4 linked regions of the Caenorhabditis elegans genome follow. The protein of the gene in region 1 purifies or fractionates together with the protein of each later gene. This does not show direct contact. Each region holds a gene or a part of one and is shown in the gene's direction. Other genes may lie near its edges.

Region 1 (4,714 bases):
TTTCGGAAAGAGTACAGTAAGTATATAACATCGACGGTGGGAGGGGTCATATTGACACAACCGTTTTTAGGCCACGTCGCGCAGATCGTCGGACGGCTTGATGACAAATCTGAAGAAGGATGAGGCGACAAGGATTTGGTTTGCAGTCTATCTCAACATCATTCTCGTTGCTCTGATTTACGTTTTCATCACGATTAAGCTGGTAAAAAATGATTACACTAAAGATTAAAGCTAGATAATTGAATTTTTAGGCACTCATGTCACTGAGCGAAGGAAAAACTGAGCGCAAGAAACGGAACACCTTCAGTTCACACGTTGCCTACGATTCCCCCGACTATAATGTCCCATTGACCAGTATTGCAACAAGAGAGATTCCAAGAGGTCCCGTTCAAGATGAAGATTTCGAGATGGCTTTGGAAGTCCGAGAGGATGAGCAAATCGCCATTCCGAACCCTGATCTCCGCAGTGATTTATCCACGGAATTTGATGATAATCACTAGTTCTAATTCATGTTCAAAATTTTTGTAAATAGCATCACTAATCTATTCCAATTTGACAGGTTCCTATTGCACGAGTATTTCTTCATAAACACGGTTATTCGTTTTTTTTTCCTTTTTAGAAACACAAATCTGAAGAACATGAATTGCTTGACCTTGGTATTGGCGGCGATAACCTAGAAAGTGGGACAAGTTATTTCTTGCTGTCCACGTATCTTTGGATAAGGAAGATCATCAATGTTTCGTAACCTGTAAAACTAAGAGAAGAGAAAGACAAATATATATCAACTAATCTAAAAAGTTGCAGTCAGCAAGATGAGGAAAAAAATAAAATATATAAAGAAGTTGAATATCTAGAGGTTCTCAATATTTTTGTCAGAAAGTTTTTTTCTCATTCTCAAAATAGCATTGAATATTTTCTTATTAATATTTTTGCTTTAAAATAATAATATTAACAGCGTGATAGTTTTTTGGAACACGAATATCACATGCATGCGCATTTCGCAAGACTTCCATTCTCTGCGTCTCTCTCCTTCTGACTCATTTCTTCTCTTTAAAATCGAAAAATATTGTTCTCATCGACCCCAAATGTTTAAAGCGTTCTCATCGATAATGCAAAGTCTACAGTTCAAAACCGATGTTCCAGTGATAATGTGAGTTTTTTCTTAATTAAAATATCAATTTTTCACCTAGAATTATTTCAGAGATGCAGAAACTGTGCCGAACGAATGTTTCTCGCCAATTTTCCGAAGGCTGGACAAAAAATCACTTCTAAACTGCCAATTGGCTTGCCATCGATTCAATGATTTGATATCAAGTGACTCGTTTTGGATTGAATATGCTCGAATTTTAAATATATCAAATGTTCTTCCATCTTTGGAGTGGAGAAGAGCAGCGACACAGAAGAAGTTTGTTGGAAATGAAGACAATGAAATTGACACTTCAAGTTTTAATTTTAATATTAAAAAAATAGTAGGTTATCGCATTTTATAGTAATAAAATTACAAAGTTTTACTTCAGGTTCTGTCTGGAAGAGGCTACTCACCAATCACTCCGCTTTTCATTTCTCATTTTGAAAATGCACGTGACAACACAATAAGTGGAACTCTCCGTTCAGATGATTTTTCAATCAGAGCGAATGGCAGTGGGTATGTCAATACTTTGTTCTTAAAATAATCAATATTTACAATTTCAGAATCCACATGGAAAGAGATGGAGGAAACGGTTGTGAACCACATCCGGATGTTTCCAAGTGCTTCGTATTTTCATTCACAGAGAGCTCAATCAGTGTTTTCATCGATTTGGTGAACTCTGGAATTGACCCATGGATCTTGGATCACGTTCGCCCGAGAATTAGAATTACACAGAAAGTCAATCATCGTAATGATTGTGCAGCCAGGCTCTCATTTGCTGCTCAGTTGAACTATCACGAGACTCAGTGGATTGAAAGATTTGGCCATGTACAAACTATGAGCAACACTGATCATAAAAGATATAAATCTGTAAATAAGGAATGGGCTCAATGGACTGGTCAACCTTGGGAAGATTGGACAATTGAGTTTGACGATTACCCGTCTGGAATTCGACATTTAACTATTCTGAATGAAGGTGAAGATAGACAATTTTGGAGAGGATTCTACGGACCAAAAGTTGCCAATATTCAAGTCGAAGTTATTCTGCCTGATGAGCCAATAGTTAAACCACTCGCTGTTGATTCCGAAAAATGCAATGAAGACGAGAATCCTAACGCTGAAGACGAGGATGATGACGATGATGAAGTACCGCCAAGAGTCGGAGTTTTTAGAATGCCACTCTTTCGTCGTGGTCGTCACATGTATGGAATTCCTCCCGCTGTGGCTCGTCATGAAGATGAAGACGAGGAAGATTAAATAATGCACCGACAATTTTTCGCTTAACTGTTTTATAAAGTGTTTGTATGACTGGAAAAGTTTGTTATATCTGTAATCGAATGAATATATAAATATTTTAACACGTATCAGACACGGATACATGTCATGACATGAGTTCATTAACGAAAAAAAAGAAATTCCGAAAAAAAAACTGCAAAAACATTGCGCGTCAAATTGTGTGTTCGCTGTGCATGCACCCTTGCCTCTGCGTACCGCACATTGCATCTTACGACGATTTCTATTTTATATTTTTTGAATGAATTTCTTCATTTTTCAACTTAATTTTTGATTTTTGCTGTGATTTCAGATATGGATACCAGCGAAAATGCTGCTTCAGCTGCCGAGCAACAGCCAACACAACAAATCGATCAATTAACAGTACCAAATGCTCCGGATGGAGGTTCTTCAGCTCCTGCTCCATCTGTAGGTTTCGTTATTGTTAAATAGTATATTTTTGAATAAGACTTCACAATAGTCAATTTCCAGACTTCTCCCAATTCAATTTCGCCATCAAATCCGACTGGCACACCCGCTCCAGGTGCCAGTGCCCAAACTCCCAATCCAAACGCCGCCGGAGCTTCAGCCTCGGGTTCAGCAAATTATAAGCTGATGTGTACATTGGAAGGACACACAAAATCGATTTCTTCAGCTAAATTTTCCCCATGTGGAAAGTATCTCGGAACAAGCAGCGCGGACAAAACCGTCAAAATCTGGAACATGGATCACATGATTTGTGAGCGAACTGTATGTTTCCGCTCATGAAAATTACAATTAATCCTTAAATTTTCAGCTCACCGGCCACAAACTGGGTGTAAACGATATAGCATGGAGTTCCGACAGCCGTTGTGTTGTCTCTGCTTCCGACGACAAAACACTGAAAATCTTCGAAATTGTAACGTCGAGAATGACCAAAACCTTGAAAGGACACAATAACTACGTCTTCTGCTGCAATTTCAACCCACAATCATCGCTCGTTGTCTCCGGATCATTCGATGAATCCGTTCGTATCTGGGATGTCAAGACAGGAATGTGCATAAAAACCCTCCCAGCACACTCAGATCCAGTGTCAGCAGTGTCTTTCAACAGAGACGGCAGCCTCATCGCATCGGGATCCTACGATGGTCTAGTTCGTATCTGGGACACTGCCAATGGGCAATGCATCAAGACTCTGGTCGACGACGAGAATCCTCCGGTGGCATTTGTAAAGTTCTCTCCAAACGGAAAATACATCCTCGCATCGAACCTCGACAGCACTTTGAAATTGTGGGATTTCTCGAAAGGAAAAACCCTGAAACAATACACTGGACACGAGAATAGCAAATATTGCATCTTCGCCAACTTCTCTGTTACCGGTGGAAAATGGATCATCAGTGGTTCCGAAGATTGTAAGATCTACATCTGGAATCTCCAGACTCGGGAAATAGTTCAATGTCTTGAAGGACACACACGTAAGTCGAAAAATAAAATAAAAATGCAAATTTAAATTTTTTCCATTTCAGAACCCGTGCTAGCCTCCGATTGTCATCCAGTTCAGAACATCATTGCCTCAGGAGCTCTCGAGCCAGACAACAAGATTCATATATGGCGCTCGGATGTTTAAATTGTTTAAATTTAATTAAAATTTCGAAAATTTGATTTATATTTACCCCTTGGTCACCGTGTATATATGCTTTTCCTTCTTGATCTCCTATATTCCTTGATTATAGAGGCGCGGTGGCCAGACACTTTTTTTTCTGAAACTTCGTATTTTCTGTCATTCCTTATATATTCTTCCTAATATAAAAATCCATAAATATTAATTTCCGTGGGATGATTGAGATGATCATTCAATTGATTCGTTTTATTTCGATATTCTATTTGATTTTCAGATTTAATTTTATTTTTCTGGATTGAGGCTGAAAATTTTAGAATGGCAACTCGGGCTACACAGATTTCGACGCTAGTTGAGGAAATTGCAAATAATCCCAATCTTAAAGAAGATCTGAAAATTGTAAGAAATCGCAGATTTTCTAAGTAAACGCCCCACCCCTGAACTATGGGTCTCTTTAGGTTAAGAAACCGAAAATCGAATTTTTCAATTATTCTTGCCCGATTTCAAAGCATTTTCAATTGGTTTTAATGATTTGATGTCAAAAAATAAATTTTTTCATAAATCTCGGCATAAAAATCATTAAAAACAACGAAAAATGCTTGAAAATCGGGGAAACTAACTGAAAACTTTTGAACATCCAGTTTTGCCGCCAAAAACCTAACGAGACCCATCGTTAGCCCGTTTCCACGTGGATTTCAAAAGGGTTTTTTTTCTGC
Region 2 (7,219 bases), on another chromosome or scaffold:
CCTCCATTACCGTATCATTTCATATTTTTCAACGACAAAATACGCGCTCCGAGGAAAAATTATTATTCGAAACTATTTCCATATTCCATCTATAAAAACTGTACTATTTTTAGGCTGATTGTGTGCTTCACAAAAATAAGCTTTCAGTTTCTCAATGAAAATATTCTTAAATTGCATATTGTTACTAAAATTCCCTTTTATCGTAAATTGATTATTCTTAATTGGTTCTAGATAATTTTTGAGTAATTGGTTTGTCCTACCTATTTTAAAAAAGCTTTAAAAAAAAGTTTAAAAAGCTAAAACGCTTGTACAACCTTATGTCCTAAAAAAATCCTACTTTCACTCATCCCTCTTTTTTGCGCTCTCTACATCGCTCTTGGTGGTCCCATCTCTTCCCCTCTTCAATTCATGTGCTCTTTCGCAAAGTGCTCCTAAGCCTTCTACTCTCGCTTTCACTCGTCCACAATGGCGGTCAACTCGGTCGATGGAAGCAGGCCACACACACACACACACACTCACACATACAACCGCCTTCTGCTAGCCCGTTGCAATTTATTGCGTTCATCCGTTTTTCTTCCCATTTTTTTGAATCAAACATCAAATAGGCCAACCAATGAAAAGGGACGGTAAAAATTCACTGCTTTATGAGCTAATATATTTTATCACCCCGTTTGTTTTGCGCACCGCGCCAAAGAATGAGTCGCACAATTTAATGATAGGCATTCAATTTTTGGCTACGTTTACAATACCGTATATCGCATACTTTTATGCAGATAATTTCATAAAGTAAAGCAAATCATTGAAATTCTCCATGCCATGTTGAAAATAGCTTTGAGCAAACTAGTAGGAGAAAGTAGGAAAACGTACTATGTTGCGAAAATAATTAATCTTAACTATTTTTATCTTGATTAGTTTGATCAAAAACGTATATGTTGTACACTAAAAGAAGCTACTTAGTTTCATATGTTAGACCAAAAAAGCGGTGTACTTTTTTCAATTTCACACACGTGTTGTTTCAAATTGTTTTATTTTTGATTCAAAAGAACCTAGCAAATTTCAGTTTTATTGTCTAATTAATGTTCAAAAGTAGATTTGTGAATGTATTGCAATGACAACATGACATATACATTAAATATTGGGCAGGCCACATCTTATTAGTCCCTTCACTCTTTCTTCTCACGAGCTTAGTTATTTACTCGACTGGAGCCAAATAGATTGCGTGTTCGGCCGTGTTGCGTTCTTTTCACACGTGGCTAGTCTCAATATATCTAACCAACAAGCAAGCAGAGAAGCAACGTCTCGTTCTTTATTTTTCCTCGAGCGCCGTTCCTCGTTTGATATTTATTTACGTGCGTGTGCACAACGCACAGCCATCTATAGCTAGTCAGTGTATGCCCCGTCAACAACAAAAACAAAACGAAAAAAAAACCACGCTATCTTTTCTACCTCCTCGTTTGACGTCGTTCGTCCATACTTCATTCATTGACATCGTGGGATGGGCAGTAAACAAAACTACTGTAAATGCTAGTTTACTATTTTGTTGTATTTTGTATTCTAGTTGTGTTTCTTTTCTAAAATTAACCCTAGACAAAAATGAAATGGCAGCTGGATTAACCAATAATACTGTGAATGCATAGATAATGCCAAAGTTCATGAAAAGGGCAGATATATGTACTTTAAGTTATGTAAAGATCCGGGAATGTCTACAAATGTGCACGTACTCTCTATTAATAGTTTGATGGGATTCTAAATTTGAGATTTAATCAAACTAAAATGTTTGCTTTTTCGATCTGCTTTTATCACTTCAACTCAAGCTTTAAAAAATTATTCAGAGCCTGGCAATGTTCTCACCTACGCATCGTGTTTCCTGCTTATCTCCTCATGATTAACTTGATTCAATAAATGGATTTGACCTGGTTTATACATGTGTATTTGAGTAAACTTAAACCCTTATTTTAGATTGGCACCTTTTCAGTTACATCTTAATTATCTACGTCATTATCATTGAAGTGCCTAACTAGAACTTCGGCTTTCTCACGTGCCTAATTAAATTCTTACAAATTTTTTGTCCGAACTGTTTTCTTTTTTTTTCAATAATCGCTTCTTGGATCTACCTACCCACCTATAAACTCATATTTACAGTTTGTTCCCCAGCATTTACCATCGTATGCAAGGGAAAAATTCACACTTGACTGGAATAACTGGAACTACACATTGTGAGTTACTTTGCATTTTTGCTATAGTGACCAGTTGGCGACCAAAAGTCGAACTGAAAAGATTAGTGCATTCATGCGAAAGTTCTACATAAGATTCAATTACATTAGTCATATTTTAATACGGATATGACTTTGATATTTAAAGATTAACAAGCAAGGTATCTAATTAATTAAGCACGAGTGCACGTTTCCGCAAATTTATACACCTAAAAACGCGGGCAGCATTCCTCTTTTCAATTTTTGCTACCTCATCTTATACTACTTATGTTTAGTTACTATTTTCGGAGCAAGCCCAAGAAGTATGTCATTGGTTAAAAACTCACAGGAAACTCCACCATTTCCCGGAATGAACTCCACCATGAGGCCAGTAGAATTCAACTCGACCAAGCAACCGGAAGCTCAGACTATTGATCAAGAGCAAGATGCTCCTAAAAGCTTTGATTTTAAAAATCAAACCCTTGGCGTGTATTCTGATACTGTGTTGAATCCACTCAAAAACGATAGTTTCAAGGATGAGCTGGTTGTAGATGTTCAGAAAAATCTTCCCATTGAATCGTTGACAGTATCTCCAAAGAGTTCTACTGACCAGAATTGCAGATCTACCAACGAGGCTATACGAATTGCAGGATTTGATAACTTTGCTGATCAGCTCCAAGAATCCAATGGCGTTTTCGAAGCATGCCCAGAGGCCCATTCAGAACAAGGAAATGAGAGTGAAGATTTTAAAGATTTGATCAATAGTGAAACTGAGTGCAACATTGAAGACGTTGTTCTCCCGACAGTACACGTTTCTACGGATTCTGAAGAAATCATTTCGGGCGATGTGATTATGAATGGTTAGTAGATTGTTTAAGTATAAAATATTTTTTTCATTCTTTGATGTAACTATGATTTTGATAGCTTTTGAAAAATTGAAACAAAATACATAGTTAAACTAATTTGGAAACATTCTAATACTTACTGGGAACATTTACAGACAGCAATGTAGTTTCAAAACCAAAAAATTTGGAAAAAGTCGAAACGCCTGATGTTCTCATTGGCAGTGGTTCAAACGACAAGCTCTCTGATATGACTGAACAAATTGGCAACAATCAGCATCTTGAAAAACTGATCTCGGAGAAAACTGAGAAATCACTCAGTGACAATGGTGAGAGCAACAGTTACCAGTTATTAATTTCTGAACGATAATATTTTTTTCAGAAACGACGTTGAAACCTGTGCCTGTGCAGCATACCAACAGTGTCGGAAGTTCGATTGGGACAACTTCTGGAGATTCAGAAATTTCTGACGATGACCAAAAATCATGGAGTCCTAAAAACGAATCGCTTGATTATCAACCTGCTTCTACTTCAAGCGAATTTACAGAAACAACCTCTGTGGCTAATCAAACGGAATCTAATGCAGGAAGTGTAGATGATTATTGCCCCCGCACGTCGATTGACATTGGATTGGACTCTTCCGCTCCTTCATGCTCTTCTGATGCAACAAGGGAGCCTACACCAATAAAAAAGCGTGGTCGAAAGAAGAAGGAACAATCTGCAACCGAACCCCCTATACCCAGGACGAAAAGAGCATATACTAAAAACCCAAATACGGTAAATTTCATAACTAATCTATTCTCAGTTTAATGCATAATTTACAGATCCGAAAACGCCGCATGAAAAAGAACCAATCTGACGATGAGGAAGATGATGGACCACCAAAAAGACGGACGATTAATTATCAAATTGAATTTCGTGATGCTTCTGGGGCTTGGACTATGGCTCAGCAGTTGATATTTGTTCGTGACTTCATGTCTAAAAAGAATGATAAAATAGTAAAACTGTCGAAATCAAGGCAAGACAGAGTTGACAAATTCATTCTTCAATTTCAAGTCAGTCCGCATTGAAAATTATTGTTAAAAAACCAAAAACTAATATTTCAGAAAACCCAAGATTCTCACTACATGCGTGCTGCCATTCAGCTGAATACAATTTTCCCGGATCAAGGAAACTATCGACATTGTCAGGATTATTTGAAAGATCTTACCATTCGTGTAGTAGTACCGCCAAAGCGAAGAGAAGGAAAACGAAAAAGTGAAGTTCCTGCCAATCCACCAGCCCTTTTGCTAACTGGACCATTATATCTCAACTTCTATTGTACATCACAAGAAGTCCTCGAAGCGGCAGGTCAATTACTCGAATTTCATGTCAACGCCGTTTACAAAGATGAACGACTACAGCCTCCGGTTGCCGATAAGACACTTTTGGATCTGGAAAGAGCGATGTATCACGAGCAAGTCAAAGATCTTACTGACTATCACAAATACCGCATACCATGTCCAACTCTCACAGTCACCACCAAAGAAGAAGTATTCTCGTCGGATTTTGAGCGCATTTTGAACTCAGCGAGCATCACCAACATTAGCGGAATCGCAAAGGCTCTGAACATCAAGACTGAACTGTTTTCACTGCCAGAAATTGCAAAGTGTCATCCTGAATTATCCATTGATATTCTTAACCAAGTACCACAAAGTGCCGATGGAAACTGTGATAGTAAAGGAATTCGTTGTTGGGATGTTACATCGTACTCTTCTAAGATGAAGCTGCAAGATTTCGAGAGGTACATGCAGAAGGAGGAGTCTGAAGCAATGCAAGGTAATATTGACTTTTGAACATAAGATTTTTAATCTTTGTTTTTAAGCTTTCGAAACGATTTCAAACTGCACAGCAAAAGAATTAGAGAGCACATGCCAGAAATTGAAAGCTGAGAGAATTGCAGCTCAAAACGCAATTGAGGGCTGTGATGAAACAATGCCTTGGATCAAGTTTGGAACAAATATCGACTTGCTTTCCGAAAATTTCAAGAAGCAGATGAATGTTAGTGATATTCTACATTTTTCAAAATAATTTATCTAATTCTCTATGTTCTTACAGGAAATCGAAAAGCTGCCGACGTTCCTGCTACCAAACCGTGAAGGAAACTTGCTCAACTACGCAGGAGTAGACGTTCTCGGCATCAATACTGTACAGATGTACGCGAAACCAATCGGATCACGCACTCCAGCACACATGGAAAACTCACTCATGGCTAGCATCAACTGGAACCGCGGTCCGGGAACGTGCGTCTGGTTTGCTGTGCCGTACGAGTATTGGGGGCAGCTGGAGTTTATGATTGGAGAGCACGGGCACAAGTACCAGGATCAAGACTATTGGCCAAGCGAAAAGGAATTACTGGAGCTGGGAGTTCCTGTAATTAAATTCGAGCAAAAAGCTGACGAGATGGTATATGTCAATACTGGATGTTTCCATTGGGTGCAGAGCAATAGCTTCTGCATCAATGTATCTTGGAATGTCGGACAGCCAAACTTCACTCAGCTGGCTACCTCAATAGTGGCTCACGATCACAATATGCTCATTGGGAACCAGGCGCATGTTCCATTGGTAAATCTCGTTTGGAATGCTGCACGTCAGAGGCTTTTCGTCGACGATCCCGAGATGTATAAAGCCATGCGCGGTGTCATGATCAGGTTAGTACATATGATAATAAAAATTTGCTATTTTCTAAACAATGCTCAATCTAATTTCAGATCACTTGCCCATTCAAAGTGGTACTTTGATCTTATTGATCATCATGACTACATTGTTGGAGACGCTAGCGAATGGAAGCTTGCTGATCGCGTTCAACGATGTAAATACTGTACATCTGAAATCTTCAACATTGTCAGATGGTACACCACAGAGGACTTATCAGTAGATTCGTACCCCTTCTGCTCTCATTGTCATGTAGCGTGAGTTTTATTCAGGATCAATGAATCATCAATGAACAGTGTGTTTTACAGAAACGAATACAAAAAGGACAGGTTCCTCAAGTACACATGGTTCTTTTCATTAGAAACATTGGTTAATATTTTTGATGCCTACGTTCCTAATTAAATATTTATCCAACAATGGTGCCTTCTAATATGTTTTCTAGGATTTTTCCTCAAATTTTAACGTTCTTTTATGATGTTCTATTAGTTTTTTACAGCGTTTAAATGCTGTTTTTCTGTATTTTTTTTCAATTTTCATTTTTAGCATTTGTTTTCCCGAAATCAACTTTCAAAATTTCCAACTCAAGCCTTTCTATCTCAATTACATCCCTAATTTCTTTCGAAGAAAAACGTACCTCGCCCCTTAATTATGATTCTTTCCATCAAATGGTCCCTGACTTCTCACGTTTATCCATCACACTCCTCGCTCTCGCTATCTCTGCAATTATCGGTGTATTTTATCAAAGAATGTTATTCAAAGAATGTTAAAAATATTGAAAATTAAATCATTTACTATATATAAAGCGCGTGTCCTTCTGTCCCTATGTAGTTTGATCTTTGATCTTTGGTCTTTGAACTCTGTAGTTTGTAGTCTCAATCACCTAAGAGGGGTCCTATAGCCCCGCCCCTTTTGTGACGTCATCACAAATTGGCGGGAAATTCAAATTTTCTGAGAAATCATTTTGGCGGGAATTTAAAATTTTAATTTTTTGAAAATATTTTGGCGGGAATTCAAAATTTAATTTTTCGAAAACATTTTGGCGGGAATTTAAATTTTAATTTTTTGAAAATATTTTGGCGGGAATTTAAAAGTTTAATTTTTTGAAAATATTTTGGCGGGAATTCAAAATTTAATTTTTCGAAAACATTTTGGCGGGAATTTAAAATTTTAATTTTTTGAAAATATTTTGGCGAAAATTCAAAATTTAATTTTTCGAAAACATTTTGGCGGGAATTTAAAATTTTAATTTTTTGAAAATATTTTGGCGGTAGGTTTCCACGCCGGCCGACAATTTCCGAGTTTCGCCACTCACTAAACTTAATCAGCAATTTTATAGTGAGTGGCGAAACTCGGAAATTGTCGGCCGTCGTGGATAGCTGCCCCCAACCGGACGCATGTGCGTCCGGTTCGGACCACCGGACGTCCGGTTGTACAGCCCTATCGTGGTGAGACGCATCCTGGTGAGACCCATCGTGGAGAGACCTTTCGTGG
Region 3 (5,869 bases), on another chromosome or scaffold:
TCATTTTCTGTTTTTGTAACTGTTTGGGTGTTGTCAGTTTTCTTAGGCTCGTATTTTCAACTTTCATCACAAAACAAATCAATTCCATGTTGTCTGAACAACAGTATTTGGCAGGTGATTCAGCGAAAATTCTTCTGCCATTTTTCGTGTCTGTGTTAAAACTTTCTCAATTTCCTCCGACTCTCTCCCATCTTCTAACCACAGCGTTCGTAACCGATTATCGTTTCCTCTACCACTCTTCCATGAGGCGCATCCTCAATTATACGACCTTATAATTCGTCTCTAAAACAAATAAACGATCCGACGGCTTCAAAATAAGGTGTCATTTCGTGTGGAGACCTCGGAGTAACTAAGAAGGGCTTACTCTCTAACCTGGTAGTTTAAGTTTTGGACACTTGGTTCTGAGTAATTTGTGCGCCACTGTCTACAGTCGTGCGTGCATCAAGGAGTCACGCCTGAAGTCGAGAAGCCGTCCCGGCGGTCGCGCACTACGCAACGCACACACCTTGATCGTTTCGACCTTCGGGTGCCCAATAGATCCTAAAAAGATCGTTTTCGTCCTCTTTCACTGTATAAACTACCCTCCCCCTTTTTTCTTGCCTAATGTCTCCTCCTCGACTACTCCCGTTTTTTGCTAACCATCAAACCTCCTTAACTCAATTGCTCGTGCAAACGATCATCTTCGTCATATATATTAAATAATATGAAGTCCCACTTTTCAACTTCTCATCATTTTCCCATATCCGTCATTCAGGCGTAAGCTAGATTGATTATAGATTCATCTCACAATATTGACGATGCATTTTTGATAAGCCAAAGTTGGAATAGGAAATTGGGAACTCTTTGAAAAATGACCGATAATCAAAATTTCTCTATTTCTTTTTTATTTCTGATACTTAAAAAAAAGCGTCCTGTCAACACTGTTTTTTGAATTCTCACGTCTTCCTGCTTACTTCGCTCTCTCCGTTTTCTTCCCAGTATTTTTACAACCAAACCAAAACCAAAACTCTGTGCCATCTCTTTTCTTCCTCTCATGACCAGCAAAAGCAGCAAAACTAGCGAAACAAGCCTTCGTCGTTTTTTTCTCTCCCGGATACTGTAGCTATGTGTATGTGAGAGTGCTTTCCAATGTGTGCTTGCTTGCTCTCTCTTGCTGTCCCGAGGTTTTTGCTCCATCGAGAAATGCTCGCTTTTTTTGCTTCATCTACAATAAACTTCCAAAATCTATTTCCCTGATTTCCTTGACAACAAGAAATAAATTAAATTTTTTGTATTGTACTGAAATAATTTGATACGGATTTGTAAGATGCTCTCCTGCCATTATAGGATATAGGTTAGGCGGCCCCTAATGCTATTTTACAACCACCTCGTCAACTAGGTTCTGGTTTTTCGTACCTTGTGACCCGTACCTCTGAAGAGCCGTCACTGCCATCATTTCCTTTAATGTCTGTCTCAGCTTTTCGCAATCAACAAGAAGCTTGCCAATAACTAAGGGATTATCTTCTCGAAAACCACAGATGCTCGTATCGCTCGCTTCATTTTGTCGGATTAGAACGGCGTCTTGAAAGGAAAGGTATACCTTGCCACCTTGGATGTGAATATAGCTTGTTAACAAATCTTCCTCTACCACCTCCCTACTGATGTTATCATTGTATTGAAATTTCTCCTCTCATCAGTTATCTATTGTTAATCAACCAGCTATTATTGAAAATCGAGATTTTATCAGGTTGGATTTTTCATAGTTTAACATTGATTAGCTATCAAAGTTACCGTATACTTGCGGGTCTCATGTTTTTTTTTCAATTTTTTCTCCAGTTTTAGTAGATCCATAACTCTGAAAAACAACACCAGGAACAATATGATTTGATTAAACAGAGAAGTGTCGTTTCCCAAATTAGCCGCCCGAAATGTTGAATGAATAGACAAGTGTTGAATAGATTCCGAGACTCAGTCTCCAGCGCTTTGTGAATAGAAACCTCAGATTATGAGCAGTCGTTTTTAATGAGTGCTTGAAGAAAAATAGGTTAGTTGCTTTTTTCGAGAAATCAAGTTTATAAATTAAATATTCAATTTGCGATATTGACATTTTCAGATTTGACTTCAATTTTGAATTAAAGCACAAATGCACAAACTGTAGTTTTGAACAATCAGAGTTTTTTGCCGCCTCTAAGTATTTTCCGATTGATTCTAAAGCTATAACTGGCTGTATCCGCCGTAGCAGGTGTTCTTCTCTGCGATACATACAAGAACTTTAGAATCCAATAATGTGTGAAATTGAAAAGTGTATAGTAATACCACCATCTCTTACTTCCTATTGCTATTCCCGAGGTGTTGTTCTGTACACGGTCACCTGCACATAGTTTACTTTATTCGTCGACGTCTTCCGAATCATCAACGTCGCCGTTTCTGCTGCTGGTGGAGAAGCGACGGATTGAGAGAAACGTTGTCATCATCATGTGAAATAGGTCCCGCCAGGACATTGCGTCGGCATCATCATCATCATACAGAGAGTTTTGGTAACGAGGGACAGAGAGAATAAGCCACGCCCTGGAAGGCGCGCGATGATTGGCCAAGCGGTGTTAGACCCGCCCACCCACAGTTGTCTGTGCACCTCTCGTCGGCGCCCAATCTCGTGAACCTCTTCCCCATCTTCCCTTCTTCTTTCTCCTGTCTTTTCTACCTCCTTCTCTTGCGCGATTCCCGTTCAAAATTCTATTGTATTTCATATTGGTTGTCTTTTGCAGTGTCCGGTCGACGTGTCATATCATTGTTGTTTAACAAGATGATGATGGATCCGGATTCAGCAAAAATGCAGGACTACTCGGGTTGGTCGTTTGGATTTCACATGCCACCAACATCTTCAACAAATCTTCTCCCGCAGTCAATGCCAGATGATTTGTCAAATGGGCCCGATAGCCCTGATTCAACAGGAAAAGACGGAAAGAAGAATGACGACAGGTAAGATATTCAGGTGGCTCTTCTGTGGAAGTGTTAACATCGAAACATTGTTCTATTCATCTATTGTTTCCGTTTCAGAGTGAAAAGGCCAATGAATGCATTTATGGTTTGGAGCAGAGGACAGCGGAAGAAAATGGCTCTGGTAAATTTTTCTTTCATTTTCTAACCTACTGTTAATTCCTGACTTTTTAAAATTGTATCTGATATAGTTTACTTTCACACTAAATCAATCATTTCCCACACTCTTCTATTGCATTCCTAATTAGTAAGACACAGTTTGCGTCAACGATTCGATTCGTGACCTTCTTGATTCACTTATGTCTGGAGAATCTTCTAATATATGCACATCGTTTTCTCGTTTAGAGTCTCTGATCCCTTAACTCACTTGAGTTAATCCTCTACATTTAAAATTATTTTTCTCATATTGCATTGAAAATCTGGAGAAAATAAGTATTTAGGTTCTATTCACAGAAAGTTTTAGTCATATTACCTGTGTTCGCCTAAATTTCAACATTTCGAACAGCTTGAAAGCAAACTGCATTTCACGTATCTTACATATTATATTACACTTTCATTATTCTAGGAAAATCCAAAAATGCACAATTCTGAAATCAGCAAACGTCTTGGGACAGAATGGAAAATGCTCAGTGAACAAGAAAAAAGACCATTCATCGATGAAGCGAAACGACTACGCGCCATTCATATGAAGGTTAGTTGGGGAATCTGGGTCGCCTGATACTAAGCTTATTGAATAGTGCCATCACAATTTGTTCTCTTCAGGAACACCCAGACTACAAATACAGACCGAGAAGGAAGACAAAGTCAATTAATAAGAAAAATGGAGCACCAATTCCATTTGGAAATTTGGACACAAAAACGCCATCTGTAAGTTTTCCTTCGATATTGAATACTTCATATATCTATTTTCATGTTTCAGTATCCGACGTTAACAACCAACTGGAATGCGACAAATCAGTATATTGATCAGTTTCGGTTTGCTCCGTACCCCACAACAACTGTAATGGATCAAATTCCATTCTCGTTGACATACCCAGTGCATTCGGTCCCAACTGACAACTCGTCGCCTTCGCAGTTCCAGCCATCTCCGATGAGCACAAATTTTGCTGGCAGCTACCTGACACCAAAATCAGAGAGCTCGCCGGTTGGCAGTGATTCTACAGTCGGCACCGTTGACTCCAGTCAGTTTCGTGCTTACTACGACCACACAAAGGATCAGATGATGTATCCGTACAGTATTGAATTGACTCATGCTCAAAACATTCAAAATGCTCTTTCCCAATCCCATGTTACCTCTTAAACACACTTCTCGAAAGAAATTGACCTTCAATTAGTTTTTTTGGTACAAATTTCAATACTCCATTAATTTTTTTCAAAACGGTTTTTGACTTTTGAAACATCTGAGCTTTTTCAATTCCAAAATCAAAATCTGAGGCAGTTTCAGAGATGTGCATTGCTAAATGACTTTTTACCTCTTATTCCCATTTCTCTCACAAAAAATTCAATGTCCCGTGTAGGGTGATACGTGCCCAGAGGTTGTTTCACTTCCCCATTTTTTCTCCCTTTAAAATTTTGCCAACACAACACTGACTTGGTATTTGACTGTTTTTGAAATTCTAATCAATATGTTTCGTATATTTGTTTCCTATGTCAGTTTTTGTGGTTTATCGGAATTCATTTTCTCCGTCCTGATTCTTGATAATTCTCACTGTTCTTCGATTTTTGTTTGCTCTCTTACCCATTATTTGATGCCACTTGTGTCAGCCGTCATTTTCCACGTTTCCCCAGTTTTTTAATCCATGCAACCAATTTATTGCTCCTAACTCTCATCACCTTCAGTTTTATTGTATATTTCTTTCTTGAAACTCCAATAATTATTCGCGCTTAGAAACCTATTTAGATGCGTCCCAACTCATTTCTGAGGACCTCATATTTCAGTTTTGCATTCTGAAATACCATGTTCTAAAATTTAGATGTTGATACCATCATATAAGTTTACAAATTTTTAATTTATCCATAAAATGTTGACACCCAAGCTTAGATCTGTAAAACCAAACGACTAAAAAAGATTGAAGCAAGAAGCAGTCAGTTTCCGGAGGCTTCTTTTTTTTCACCCAGATTTGATAAAAAAGATGCATTGGTATTTTTACTTGCACACAACCAACCAAAAGTGTGTTCTTTACTTGATTTGGTCGTTACCGAGAAGTTTATTTTGTTCAAACAAGCAATGGTGAAGTGAATGTATCAGAGGCAGACGAGAAGAAACCGAGAAGAGTCAACGAAAACTGTGCATATGAATTTCGCGAAATTGTCAAACATCGGGTTGTTGGTTGTCTCGTTTTCTCGATTCGATTTGCGCCTCGACACATACACACATACATACTGTTTCTTCCTGTGTGGTGAAGTTGGGTTGTGATGGAATCGGAATAGGGTGGTCTCAATTCCTCAACTCAAACAAAAATAGCCGGAGCTGCCGCCGAGCAGTGTATGATCGAATTTCGGTCGTCCACAGTCCGGCTCCGTGGCTCCTGAAGCACGCACGCGCGCACACTCTCATACTCATACACCGAAGTACGAGGTTTTGATTGCTGTAGGGAGATTTTGGAAAGTCATTTGCCCGCCAATCTTGGCCAGTGGAAAACAACGGGAGACTGACGATGCCCAACCAATTTTGTCCCATATTCATATGCATGACTTTGGCAAAAGCAGCACAAGTGCCCCTCAGACCGCACAGCAGGGGGCGTTCAAATAACTGACTAATATTTTTGGGAGCTCTGTAAGTTTTGGATGTAGTGAAGCTTTGGAAAGGGGGCAGTCTCTCATTTATTTTTCTGCTGCCTCCTGACTTTGGCTCGGCGTCATGATTGACTATCGTACACCTGAGCCAATTTGA
Region 4 (5,798 bases), on another chromosome or scaffold:
TCTCAAATGGGCAATTTAAAAGTGGGCGGGGCTTTTGGGTCTCGGAACTGCCGGGGGCCCAAACTACTTGCATCTCTATCAGTTCTGAAACGGAGTGAAAAAGAAAAAGAACAAAATGGGCGGAGTCATGTATGAGGGAGAAGACGTGTCGGTCTCCCGTGGCGGTCGCCTTCTCTCTCTCTTTTGCAACAACTCATATTTTACCAGATCATATCTCGTCCCTCACACAGGCGCCCGGAGCGTCAGGTACAAGAATGAGTACCTGGCGCGAATCGAATCGAATATGTCTCCCCTCACCACCACCACCACGGGGGTGACAATTATCATCAAATTCGTCTCGAATCATCGACGACGTCTTCTGATGAAGAGAGAAAAAAAAAGACTTTTTCTGGGGTTGACTGTGTTCATTAATTCAATTAGTGTTTTATCAATCATTCAACAAATCATGCAAGTAATTCAGTTATTCATTCATTGATTTGCCATTTTTAGAAATTTCTGCTTTTTTAGTCAAGTTCTGAGGTTGAGACTTTCTTGAGAACTTTCAATAATGTAGTTCCATTTTCACATAAAACAATTTCAACCTGCCATGTTATTTTTAATATCTCAGCTAACACCTTTCAGAGCTCACTTACAGAAGCTTAACATCTGCAAGACGGAGCAACCATTTTTTCTGTAGTCTGGCGTCGAGCATGATTTTTAAAAATGATTTGTACTAGAAACTAATTGTGACGCCACAATTTGCGAGAAAGGGACACTGTCACTTTATAGCGATATATGTATCTATAACAAATTTCTGGGTTAGCTTTGCACTAAGGCTTGTATCTGAAAACGTCCGATCCTCATTTCCTATCTAAATTTAGAAATCAAACTTTACAACTCAACCTAAAATAATTCTAGTCTACAAGATCTGATGACTCATAATCCGAAAAGCCTGTAGAACACACACAAACAGAACTCAGACCCCACCAAATTTAACGGAATCTTCAACCGCATCTCGCACTTTATATTCATACCGATCCGATCTTTTTTCCATCCTTTTTTTCCAACTATTTCAATTGCAACACCGTATCCACCTCATGGAAAAGGGGAACCGCTCACTCACTCATTTTATACGATTTTCATCTTCTACACCCTCACTTACTCACATCATCACTCACTACCTTCCCCTGATCATTTTTTGAGATATTCTTTCTTTACCCAACCATGAACAACAAAATTTCATATTTACACTCGAAAAAAATCATCCGATTCAAGATTCTTCTGCGGCTATACTCGTCATTTGGCGCGAACTGATTGCCTATGGTTGATCCAAAAATTACTCTTTCAAAAACTGACAAAGCTCGGGGCAAACTTGAGAAAGTCCTGGTTTATGATGTACCCAAATTAAACTCACGTTTTATCTAGCTGTTGTGAAACTTGTATTGTATCGTTTTAAACTTGGCTGAGACGCTGAAAAGAGTTAGATCAATTTTGGGCTGAATCTGGGTGCGGCCTAAACCCAGTCATATAACCAAGTATTTCGTAACTTTTGCAAAGACAAATGGCGAGCCGGTGCATAATTCAAAAATGTTCATTCCAAAAATGCATTATGGGCAAATTTAGACTATAGGCTCGCCGCTCGATAACTAGCTCATTCGAGCAATATCATTTATGATTAATGACTCTATTTTAAAGTTCAATTTTTTATCGTCAATTGAATTCCATTCCCATTCCCTTACTGCCATCTCGTGTCTTCAATACTTTTACCATTTTACTCTAATAATATAAATTTTGATAATAGCCTTGTTTTCGCAATATGTGCCCCCTTGTCCCGTCGCCTTCTCATCTTTCTAATATAAATCGTTTTTGTTCTGTCTCTTTTCTCTGTGTGTGTTGTTTTGTATCCTTTTCTCTGCTTTTTTCCCTCTTCTTGTCCACTATTACTCTTTCATTCTTTGCCTATCATGCTCATCTTCTAGTAATTTCAACTTTTCAGAGCTCCAGATGAATGAGCTGCTCGCCGAGATGGCCGCGGTTTCATCCCGCAGAAAACAGTCAAAACCACGTCGAATGTCTGGTGGTAAGTTGAGGGAAATGAGAGGAAAATGCGGGGTGTTTAATGAAGTAAAAGACAAGAAAATGAAACAAGGCGATGATGATCGACCTTGAAATCTTGAAATTTTCTGCGAAAATAACAAAGTTGAATATTAAAACTTAAAACGCACTTTTGGAATGTTTCAAAATCATTTTAGTTCTACATTTTTGAAGGTTTTTAGACTTTCTAGAAAAACCAGTTATCACTAGTTTTTATGGGTTTTTGGGACATAAGTAATGAAAATTGGAAGGAGACAATAAATTGGTGTAAATTTACAATTTTAATGTCAATTCCTCTTATCAACTTATCAATATTATTCATATTACTTCGAATAGTTTCGGACGAGACATTTGCTAGAAAACCAGTATTAAAAAAAAATTAATATTACCAAAACCATCCTAGTTTGGCATTTTCATTTAAATATAATTTATCATATATTTCTCGTTCATTCATTTTTTTAAGTTTTAATGAGAAATCTGTCACATCTGTTCCACTTCAAGGAACACTTTTTCATTAAAATGTTTCCAACACAGAACCTTGTCAAATATGATAACATATCTCTTATCTCTATCTCTTTCGTATCTTCTTACCTCATTTTTAGTGTTTTTTCAATGCTTTTCCTTCGATTCTTTCAATCATAACCAATCAAAACCTACCGTAGTCCAAAGAGCTCCTCCCGAAGACCAGAGACACTTATTATATTTCCATTCATCTTTTCATATTGCTCCGCCCCTCCGTCACATTTCCATCCAATCATAAGCGACTATGAGGAGAAAGTGAGAGAGAAAAAAGAGCAAGAAAGCAGAGAAACGAGAGAGAGAGAGAGAAAATGTCCAAATATGGGAGTGCAAGGGGAAGGGAGAAAGAGTTTCGGAGAAAAAGAAAACCAATCAATTTGGCAAGTTCTGAGACAGACAGACATGAGAGAGAAAGGATGAGAGCATGTTGAAAAGGGGATGACAATTTGACAATTTGAACTTGGTGTCCAGCTCAAAGAGCAAGACTGAAATTTGTTTTGAAAGTTTTTAGTAGATAATGTTAACCAAAACGAGTTTCACAAATATTTCACCTGTGACAATAAAAGTTTAATTTTCCATTCAGTACTGTCAAACATTTCAACAGCTGTTGACAATTCGATGAATGTGAAGACCCAGTCTCTTAGAGCATGACTTTGTATGCAGAATATTTCTTGGTACTTTCTGCCTGTGTATGTGCATACAAATTTTACAGTCGTATATTTTCTATAAACATGTTGAAATTTAAGATTAACCTTTTTTTATTTAAAGATATATAGGCTTACTATTAGGCCGAGGTTGCCTTGCAGGCACGTATGCTCAAAAAAATTTTATATTCATCTTTGAGAAAAGAAGTGTATCATTTGTATCATAATTTCCGGTATCAGTTGTCTCTAAACCACCACCATCAGCTCTCGGCTTCATCTTCACAAATCATTTTTTGTGACGAACAAGTGCTCTTGTGTGTGAGACTTGAGACTTATTGTCATCTCATCTCTCTGCTGATTCTTCCATTGGCTGAGCCCATTATTATTTTTTTCTATTGAAAGCCTTATTGATTCTCTCTTTTTTGTGCTTCAAGTGGCAACATTATTGTGTTCGAGGTCCGCGAGCCGCCGCCTTCGACACGAGTCGAGTCGAGCCATCATAAAATCGAATTTATGATCGAACACAAAAGAAGTTTAGAGTGGCAGGATGAAGACGTTGTTGTTGCGAATCAGAATTCTTCTTCTGTGGGTCTTCTCCCCTCGAAACTCGATCATTTATTATAGTGTTTTTGTGTAATACGAGAGAAATAGTGTGCAATATCAGAGCTTCCTCCTTCAACAAGCAATATGAATTGGTTGGACGATGGAGACGAAAATTGAAACATTATGTGTGTGTGTCACAATGTGTGTGTGAGAGTGTGTATTTGAGGACCAGCAGAGTATCATCATCTCATATATTTTATGGATTTTTGATGGTAGCAGAGGTAGATGAGTTGAAAAAAAAGATATTTGGGGAGGAGGAGCGTTTGGATAACACTCATTAACATTGGAGGACTCTTTATGAGCGCGTGAGAAGAGAATGAATGAGACTATTATTGAATGGATGATATCAAACCAACTGACTCGCACACAGATAAGATGATAAAAATGAAGAGTTTTTGAGTTTTTGCTCATGAGTTGCAGTTACCAGAGTACTTTATTTTAAGGGGCTCAATTACGATATTTGCACAATCAAACAGTTCAAAACTGAAAATAGATAGCGTCATGTAATTCTCGCCTCGAACGAAAGTTTGGGTAGTTCCTTTGAATCCAGTACTATCTGATAATTGAAAGATTTCAGCTGCAAAAGGCAACTCGTCACCAAATTCTCAGCCAAATTTCGCCAACTTCGGCCACTTCCGTAAATGGCACCTAGAAAAACGCTAAAGTTGGTTAAGAAATATCGTTGATTTTCCGAGCAGTTTGACGAGATTTTTTGTTTTAACTTTCAGCTGAAATTTTTTTGAGAGCAGATTTTTCGAGTCTATTTACTACTACTTTGGAGGACCGTAATTTTGCTCTTAAATTGAATTCGGAAAAAATTATAATTGTAAAGGTCTCTAGGGGTATGCAAACATTTTGGAATATTTTTGGAAATTTTAATTTAAAAAAATTAAAGCCTAAAAATATCCAATTTTGAGCAGTCTTCCAGTTCTCAAAGAAATGAATCATTCACTTTAAAAATTTTCAAATTGAAATTTACTTTATACAGTTAATGTACAGCGACATTTTGTGTGGTTACCCAAAATTATATTAAAACAATTGAAGATATCTAGAAAGTTCAAAATTTGTTGCTTCCAGTGTTTTTTGAAGAAACAGGATTTACTTTGGATCTTTTGATCTAAATACTTGAAGTTGTCGTTTTGCTTCGATGTTTTAATTTGTTCGTTTGAAAACTTCAAATTATGTCTCTAATTGTACAATCATAGTCCCCTTTCTCAATCGGCCGTTATCATATTTACAGTATCCTCCATCTTTCCTCTGTAGACACATCGTGTCCCAATCGACTCGAATTAGTTGTAATATGCGGAAAAGTTAATCAAATCATGCCCTTTTTGTCAATAATCAATCGTTGACATCGTCTTAATTTTTCCGTTAAACCCACCTCCTTCTTCGTTTTTTGCTGCCTTTTTCGTAATGTTTATTAGAGCGTACTTAACCTTTTCACCCCCTCATTTTCATTCCTTTTCTCTAATTTTGGCTAATTCTCGCAATTATTTTTCAATTTTTTTGTTCAATTTGAAACTCTTAATGTTTTGTTGCGACCCGAAGACGTCGTTGTTGGGAGAAGGGGATGAAGTTTTATGTGTTTCCGACGCCTTCTTCTTCTTTTGATCATTTACCGTTTTTACAATTTTTTATGACATTTGGAAGGAAGGTTGTTGCTTTTTGGAGAAGTTTTATTTTACTATTAAATTGGTATATAGATGACTTTCTATTTAGGGACGATACTCTCTGTTTTATTGATAACTGAAGAATGTGGAACAGGAGGAGTAAGATTTATTTTTTGCCTAGAAGTTAGGGGGACTGTGAGGTGCAAAAAACTGAAATTGACCAACGTTCAATTCTGAAAATTCGGAAGTTGGAAATAATAGGGCTCAACATTTCAGCCGTTTGCTCATATGTCCAAATGGCAATAGACAGCTGAGCAGAAATATACTCGAAATGAAAAAAAACTAAAAT

What was found.
Region 2: the proteins of wdr-5.1 (region 1) and jmjd-3.1 purify together in Caenorhabditis elegans (affinity purification with western blotting, with the first as the bait; one study listed by BioGRID). This does not show direct contact.
Region 3: the proteins of wdr-5.1 (region 1) and sox-2 purify together in Caenorhabditis elegans (affinity purification with western blotting, with the first as the bait; one study listed by BioGRID). This does not show direct contact.
Region 4: the proteins of wdr-5.1 (region 1) and sem-4 purify together in Caenorhabditis elegans (affinity purification with western blotting, with the first as the bait; one study listed by BioGRID). This does not show direct contact.

Annotation. Positions count from the first base shown.
Region 1 is NC_003281.10:3,702,571-3,707,284, forward strand, and holds wdr-5.1 (WD repeat-containing protein wdr-5.1), read left to right. Parts: upstream 1-2,714; 5' UTR 2,715-2,716; coding exon 2,717-2,830; intron 2,831-2,893; coding exon 2,894-3,151; intron 3,152-3,197; coding exon 3,198-3,855; intron 3,856-3,906; coding exon 3,907-4,007; 3' UTR 4,008-4,214; downstream 4,215-4,714. Other genes in the region: C14B1.2 (Conserved plasma membrane protein), read left to right, coding at 1-16, 71-202, 252-500; C14B1.3 (F-box domain-containing protein), read left to right, coding at 1,086-1,150, 1,202-1,469, 1,518-1,645, 1,693-2,386; dph-1 (2-(3-amino-3-carboxypropyl)histidine synthase subunit 1), read left to right, coding at 4,317-4,397. UniProt on the Caenorhabditis elegans protein: Contributes to histone modification. May position the N-terminus of histone H3 for efficient trimethylation at 'Lys-4'. Required for di- and trimethylation, particularly for the trimethylation at 'Lys-4' of histone H3.
Region 2 is NC_003284.9:8,568,907-8,576,125, forward strand, and holds jmjd-3.1 (Lysine-specific demethylase jmjd-3.1), read left to right. Parts: upstream 1-2,142; 5' UTR 2,143-2,167; coding exon 2,168-2,216; intron 2,217-2,488; coding exon 2,489-3,052; intron 3,053-3,192; coding exon 3,193-3,363; intron 3,364-3,416; coding exon 3,417-3,811; intron 3,812-3,858; coding exon 3,859-4,089; intron 4,090-4,140; coding exon 4,141-4,852; intron 4,853-4,898; coding exon 4,899-5,074; intron 5,075-5,131; coding exon 5,132-5,724; intron 5,725-5,784; coding exon 5,785-5,985; intron 5,986-6,036; coding exon 6,037-6,130; downstream 6,131-7,219. UniProt on the Caenorhabditis elegans protein: Histone demethylase that specifically demethylates trimethylated 'Lys-27' of histone H3, a mark associated with transcriptional repression, thereby playing a central role in the histone code.
Region 3 is NC_003284.9:7,457,424-7,463,292, reverse strand, and holds sox-2 (Transcription factor sox-2), read left to right. Parts: upstream 1-2,744; 5' UTR 2,745-2,782; coding exon 2,783-2,958; intron 2,959-3,036; coding exon 3,037-3,100; intron 3,101-3,541; coding exon 3,542-3,667; intron 3,668-3,738; coding exon 3,739-3,843; intron 3,844-3,895; coding exon 3,896-4,276; 3' UTR 4,277-5,011; downstream 5,012-5,869.
Region 4 is NC_003279.8:7,036,925-7,042,722, forward strand, and holds the start of sem-4 (Spalt-like protein sem-4), read left to right. Parts: upstream 1-1,975; 5' UTR 1,976-1,983; coding exon 1,984-2,059; intron 2,060-3,716; exon of another isoform or gene 3,717-3,787; intron 3,788-5,798. UniProt on the Caenorhabditis elegans protein: Transcription factor, involved in positive and negative modulation of transcription. Binds to multiple DNA sequence motifs in the regulatory elements of target genes, including homeobox selector egl-5 and LIM homeobox mec-3.